2 linked regions of the Astyanax mexicanus genome follow. The protein of the gene in region 1 interacts with the protein of each later gene in a pairwise test. Links are inferred from orthologs where the notes say so. Each region holds a gene or a part of one and is shown in the gene's direction. Other genes may lie near its edges.

Evidence for each region. The genes of interacting proteins can lie anywhere in the genome.
Region 2: the proteins of sf1 (region 1) and fam168a interact in binary tests that used the Homo sapiens proteins (3 or more experiments, as listed by UniProt). The two-hybrid records come from large-scale screens. The link is inferred for Astyanax mexicanus from reciprocal best matches to the Homo sapiens genes SF1 and FAM168A.

What each region holds. Positions count from the first base shown.
Region 1 is NC_064415.1:16,236,597-16,240,352, forward strand, and holds the start of sf1 (splicing factor 1), read left to right. Parts: upstream 1-1,164; 5' UTR 1,165-1,337; coding exon 1,338-1,578; intron 1,579-2,603; coding exon 2,604-2,726; intron 2,727-3,756. UniProt on the Homo sapiens protein: Necessary for the ATP-dependent first step of spliceosome assembly. Binds to the intron branch point sequence (BPS) 5'-UACUAAC-3' of the pre-mRNA. May act as transcription repressor.
Region 2 is NC_064416.1:5,958,960-5,962,715, reverse strand, and holds the start of fam168a (protein FAM168A), read left to right. Parts: upstream 1-1,365; 5' UTR 1,366-1,576; intron 1,577-3,756.

The sequences.
Region 1 (3,756 bases):
TTTATTTCGGAATGCTTTATATGCTTCTGGACTAGACCTTAGTGTAGAAGGTCAAACTGTTGTATGTGTATTAATCATTTTACCAATTTGGCTCCACTGTAATTCGTTATAGTTTAATGGTTATAATAATATTGTTTTTTAGCAATGTAAACTTCGTGTAGCTACTGCCCAGAAGTTCAGAATATGGATTATATTTTACGTTTTATTTATATTGAAATATGGATAGAAAATTTGATTCTCTTCATTTTTTATATTTTGCAATGTCACTTTTTGGAGATTGAACTGTTTATTTTACATATTTAACTAAGGACAACATGTGTAGAGATTAATCTGTGTACAAATGAATCAAACATATGACTATAAATCCAATTATTATGATCTTACTTTATTATCAATTATGCTTATGTGTTAAGAAGGAAACTGTGATTAATTGCAATTAATCACAGCATATAACATATTGTGTGACCAATCAAAAGTTTGGAACACCTTATTATTTGTAGTTTTTCTTTATTCATTTATTTAATGTATTTTCTACACTGTATATTAATATTAAAGACATGAAAACAAACTAAACCTGATCGACTGAGCTTCACAGTGTGAAGGAAAGTACCTCCAGGAACTCCTTCAGGACACTAAGAAAACTATTCTAGGTGACTGCCTCGTGAAGACACTGAGATTAATACCAAGAGTGTGCAGATCTGTCCTCAAAGCTACTTTAAAAGAATCTAAATTATATAAAAAACATATTCTGGTTTGTTTAACACTTTTTTGTTTATAAAATAATACTGCATGTTCCTGCATGGCTTCTTCAATATTAAATATACAATTTTAAAAAATCATAAAAAGAAAGAAAGCACATTGAAGGAGAAGAGGTGTGTCCAAATTTATGGCTGGTACTCCCTGATCTATCTCCCATATCCTCCAGTAATGATTTTGTTGAATCTGTATATAAGGTAGATCCGTATGATTACCAGATCCGGTAAAATGAGCCGCCGTTTTATCTATGCTTTTCCCAATGGAGATTATGGAGCGTGTGGCATCCAATCATAGTTCTGTAAAATCTCAAGGCGGGAGGAGTGCGTCCAATGAGAATCGAAAGCGCGGTGATTGACGCCCCGTCGGACCAATTGCTGCTATTATACGGAGACCCTGAACCTCCTTTGTCCACCTCAACCGACGCCATCTTGACCGAGCATCGGTTAGGGAAGGTTGTACGGGTTGTGAGGGCGGCGCTCGGGTTCGTTTATTTTAGAAATAATAAAAGAATAAGAAATAAAGTTGATCAGAATCGAGGAGAAGCGGATAGAAGAGAGGGGCTGCAGGTAAAACTCTCAGAAATGGCAACGGGAGCGAACGCCACCCCGCTGGGGAAGCTGCACCCGAGCATCGGCGCTAAGCGGGGTTTCGACGCGGGGCCGGGCACGGGGTTAATGACTCCGCCGGGGCCTCCGGTCTCCTTCCCCATGCAGAACTTTCCGCAGCCGCAGATGCCCAGTTTACCTTTTCCGCAGTTCCCCGGAGTTCCCGGAGCTGGGTTTGCGAATCCGGCTGCAGTGGGTTTGCAGTCCCAGGGTGGAGGTACAGTATTACTGTGTGTGTGTGTGACTGTGTGTGTGGATCTGCGGGGCTATTAGCCTTTAGCTAAAGATGCTAATAGCTTTAACACTCCAGAACATTCTGAACCTTATGTTAGCTATATCTGCGCAGTCGACTCTAGTCTTTAACTTTAGCTAACCCTACCTAGTGTAACACTTTTAAACCTCAGGAAGGCCTGTGAAGAGATCTGAGGCCTTTTAGGACTACAATATTCAGCTGCTCTCTACCTGAAGCATGGCTGCGGGCTAGAAAAAAGCACAGGCCCATGCTGCTCGATTCCTCACCACAGTAGCTTAGGTAAGCTAAGCTAGGTGTGTACGATACCGTATCGTGAGCAATAATATCGTGAAAAAATAGATATCTTAATAACGCGATATTATTAAAAGAAGCCTTGTTTTGTTTTGTAGCTAGTAGATTTTTGCTCTAACATTAGTGTATTTGCGTTTGCTTACATACACTGCCTGCCACCCGCTGCATAAAGCTTTCTCCAGCACATCCCAAAGATTCACAATGAAATTAAGGTCTGGACTCTGTGGTAAACAATCCATGTGTAAAAATGATCATCTCTTGTTCCCTGAAACACTCTTTCAAAATTCCAGCCCCATGAATCCCCTGTGCCACCAGGGAAGAAAAAAAATCCATTGATGGAAGAACCTGGTCTATTTTCATACACTGTTGCTGAACCCCACAACATTTACTTAGTTGAACCCAGATGGGGACTTTTCTTTTGGCCAGGCAGTGTATTTTATTTAGTTACACTATCTTTAAAGAATTTAACCCTTTTAGACCTGAATTATCTCCAGTGGTTGGGGGAAATGTAAGACTGTTTTTTTGTCTGTAATGCAGACAACAACAAAATCAATTGCATTTGGGAAATGATCACAGAATCACACTGTAACTAAACATGAAACCATGACTTGTGTCTAGACTGTGTTGTTATGAATGCCACATGTATACATCTCTATGCAGTAGTACTAGTCATTTATAATACAACACTCTCATAATAGATCAGAAGAAAAGGAAAAAGAGCCGCTGGAGCAGTGAGACTCCTGATCAGAAGACCGTTATCCCCGGCATGCCCACGGTCATCCCTCCAGGGCTCACCCGTGAACAAGAGCGAGCTTATATAGGTAATTCAGTCCCATTTTCTCTTCTTATCTACATATTTTGGTTGGTGAACACTATCTGAAATGGTTTTTACTCCCCTCCACAGCCCAACAGCCCCCTTTTTCGTTTTAATTTTTCCAGTCCAACAACTTGTGTGCCCATTGCTTCATAACAATTTGCACATCATGCAGAGGACGTGGTCGACAAAATCCTTAATAGAAATGATTCACCGAGTTGCTCAGACATTATTGAACTTGCATGCCAAAATGTTGCCACCAATATTTGACCAGCAAAAAATCCTGTGTTTTCAGATACAGAATTTTCCCAGTAAAATTCCTTAGTGTGTGAGCATACTTGGCATGTTTCAAACACTAATCCAAGGTTTTTTATTTGTCATCTGAAAGTCTGTAAATTAAAACCCAGATATCTATTATGGGTATTTTCCAATTCTAATTGCATGAAAGGTGCAGAGTTGGTTCTTATACTGCTGAATTGTTTGCGTAATTGTCACAGCTTGTGTTCCATCAGACATCTATAATCAATTACCCACAGTCTCTCTCTGATGTTGCTGCTTGTTGTGAATTGTCTTCTGGCTGCAGGATATCATCACTGCTCATGTTAACTATGAAAAGTGTCTTAACCAGTCAGATTGGAAAAAGAGCAGGCAATGCAGGCCTAACATGAATTGCAGTCATCTTCATTACCAGTGTCCTGAATGTGCTGTGTAACGCGGTCAGTGTCCCCATTCCCGCCAGGTGCTTGCTCTCAAGTGGCATGTGGTTTAGTTGTTTTCAAAACCTCATGTGACTAATGCATCTTGTTCACTGGTGTTCTATATCCTGAGTCACTTAATAAACATTTCTTCAACTTGGGCCACTTGACTAATTTGATACATGGGGTGCAGTATTGCATTAATCTTCCTACCTCTAAAGGTACAAAATAAAAATGTGCTCAAATACAAGTGGTTAAAAGATTATTTCAGAGTGGTGGTCACAAAATCTGCTCTACCTTGCTGCAGAGTTTGGCTGTTAACCCAAACTACCCCAACCAATG
Region 2 (3,756 bases), on another chromosome or scaffold:
GGCCAAATATGGCATGAAAAGAAAAATAGTAAATACAGTAAAATATGTTGGAGGTTGTTTTGCTGCATCTGGTACTGGTAAATTAATATTATTATATTTTTTTATTTTTTATTGTTTATTCTTTAAATGTCTAATCACCATCAGAAAGCCTGTAACTATTTTAACTAGTTTAACTGGGTTTATTCTTTTTCTTATCATTTCAATTTTTTATTATTCTTTCTATTTATTTATTTATTTATTTATTTATTTTCTTAGGATCTAAGTTCACTATTGTTTATTTGCTGTTTCTCTTTTCTAACTCTTATCATTTGATTTTATCATTTACTTTTTTGCTATTATTATTTTTTTTTTCTTTATTTTAAATTTTATAATTTCTTTACTTTTTTGTTTTCTTTTTTTTTTAGGGGTCATTTTATTTAGGTTACCCTCTTGTATATTATATGTTTATACATTTAATTTATCTAGAATAAATATATTTATTCAAACTGTGTATTTATTATATTTAGAATTTTTTTTATTATTTCTAATTTCTTATCTAATGTTTTAAATCAGTTTTATATTGTAATTGTAAATGAGGGTCACCCTCAATGTACTAATGTACTCCTGAGTTAAAATAAATTACTCTTCTTAGTTTATTTCATCATTTACTTTTTACTATTTTTATTTGTTCTGTATTTTATCTTAATTTTATGAATTCTTAAATTTTTGTGAGTTCATTTTTAAGTGTTTTTTATATTTCACTCTTTTTTATATGTATATATTTTTATTAATCTATATTAAATATATTTATTTATTTTTTTCCTTTATTTTATTCTTTTTTTCTTATGTAATATTTTAAATCAGTTTTATACTATAATTGCGAATGAAGGTGCTCAATGTACTCCCGAGCTAAAATAAATGTTGAATGATTGATTCATTAATTGATTAATTGATTGATTGACTGATTAAATAATGAAACCATTTGCATTTTAATATGACTTAAACATTTATTATTTAAATATGTATTTCCACCCTTCAACCGCTAGAGTGCGTCTGTTGATCAAAGAAAATATGTCCTAAAATATAAATTATAGCGCCTCCTAGCGATTAGAGTTGGAAATAAATCTCAGTAAACGCTCAGCCAGGCTTTGCAGCATTCTGGGATTTGTAGTCCTTTAAGACCCCTGCAGTGTGAGTCCCGCCCCTCGCTCCTGATTGGACGCTGCTGGCTCTGTTTTTTTTGGAGCTACTGGTGTTGCGGTGCGTCAAATACGCATACATTCACTCACTCCTCCTCCTCCCTCCCTCCCTCCCTCTCTCTCTCTCTCTTTCCTTCTTTTGTGCCCCCCTAGCACCCTCCCACCCCTCGGTATCTGCCCCATCCCCCACTCTCTCCCTCTCTCTCTCTCTCTCTCTCTCTCTCTCTCTCTCTCTCTCTCTCTCTCTCTCTTGTATTTTCATCCTGCCTGCGTAAAAAAGGAAAGAGCAGCAGCAGCAGCAGCAGTCAGACTGCCGGATCTACAGCTACATAAAGCCTTCAGACCCGGAGCTACAAAGAAACCAGAGGCATCTAAACACCCAGGATCTGCCCAAACTGGTGAGTTTTAACCTCCACGCTGCTGTTTTCACTTTTTCCAGCTTTCTTTCTTTGCATGAACCCTCCCTTTCCAGCTGTCCATCCAGGAGAAAGAGAGAAAGAGAGAGGCTGGTTTGTTGGTTGGTGCTTGGTGGTTGGTTGGTGCTCCTCAATCCATGGCATCCAAAGCCATGGTAGGTACAGTAGGCATGGAGGCAAGGTGAGTTATGAAACACATATATAGCTACAGTAGCATCTTAGCTAGCTAGCATCATTATTGCTTATCATTGTTTAGCTATAAACTTGTGCGACTAGCTAATCTACAGGATGTATGGAATTGCTATTTTATGGATATATAAGGGATACATAATGCCACACTCCATTGGGCAAACCAAGAATAGCATCCCAAAATGGTGTCGGACAGGCTTTGAATGTGACCAGCTTTTCTATATATAACCTAAAATGATCATAAAGAACCAACACCAGGTCCAGATCTTCATTCTATACAGGAGAAAGAGAGAGAGATGGAGGGAAATAAAGCAAGAGAGAGAAAGAGAGATGCTGGTTTGTTGGTTGGTGTTTGGTGGTTGGTTGGTGCTCCTCAATCCATGGCATCCAAAGCCATGGTAGGTACAGTAGGCATGAAGGCAAGGTGAGTTATGAAACACATATATAGCTACAGTAGCATCTTAGCTAGCTAGCATCATTATTGCTTATCATTGTTTAGCTATAAACTTGTGCGACTAGCTAATCTACAGGATGTATGGAATTGCTATTTTATGGATATATAAGGGATACATAATGCCACAATCCATTGGGCAAACCAAGAATAGCATCCCAAAATGGTGTCGGACAGGCTTTGAATGTGACCAGCTTTTCTATATATAACCTAAAATGATCATAAAGAACCAACACCAGGTCTAGATCTTCATTCTATACAGGAGAAAGAGAGAGAGATGGAGGGAAATAAAGCAAGAGAGAGAAAGAGAGATGCTGGTTTGTTGGTTGGTGTTTGGTGGTTGGTTGGTGCTCCTCAATCCATGGCATCCAAAGCCATGGTAGGTACAGTAGGCATGGAGGCAAGGTGAGTTATGAAACACATATATAGCTACAGTAGCATCTTAGCTAGCTAGCATCATTATTGCTTATCATTGTTTAGCTATAAACTTGTGCGACTAGCTAATCTACAGGATGTATGGAATTGCTATTTTATGGATATATAAGGGATACATAATGCCACAATCCATTGGGCAAACCAAGAATAGCATCCCAAAATGGTGTCAGACAGGCTTTTAATGTGACCAGCTTTTCTATGTATAACCAGATATGATCATGAAGACCCACCACCAGGTCCAGATCTCCATTCGGGCCAGGAGAAAGAGAGAGAGGTGGTGGGAAAGAAAGCAAGAGAGAGAAAGAAAGAGAGAGAGGCTGGATCATTGGTTAGTGCTTGGGTAGTTTGGGGCTCCTCAATCCATGGCATCCAAAGCCATGGTACGTACTGTAGGCTGGAGGGAAGGTGTGTTATGAAACACATAGTTACCCTAGCATCCTAACTAGTTAGCATTCTTGGGTATTGCTTTCTAGCCTGCTAGCGAGCTAGCTAGTTAGCCATATTAGCCTAGCCTATACTATCTATAAGGATGTGAGGCACCCATGCACTCCATCCATACACCATGCTAATAATGCTCCACACCATTGGGCATAGCAAGCATAGCATCCCAAAATGGTGCCCAGCTTTTTTTATATAACCAAACATGACCATAAAGACCCACCACCAGGACCAGATCCTCATTCTGTCCAGGAAAAATAAAAAAGAGAGAATAAGAGAGGCTTTAGTTGTTGGTTGGTGCTCCTCAAACCATGGTACCCAAGCCATGAGTTATAAAACCCGTAGCTATCTTGCTTACCCTTACTTAGCTTGCTAAATCAGTCTTCGAATATATATGATGTATGAAGTTGCTATTTCATGGATATATGAGGATTTGAGATACCCAAAGAGGATGCCCTCCTTAACTCATTCACTCCATCCACTATGCTAATAATGCCTCACTTCACTGCGCCAACCAAACATAGTATTCCAAAATGCCAGATCTTCAATCTGACCAGAAGAAAAGAGATAGAAAGTGATAGAGCAAAGAAAAGAAAAAAGGAGAGAGTTTTTGGTTCGTTGGTGTGTTGGTTGGTTGGTCCTTGATTGG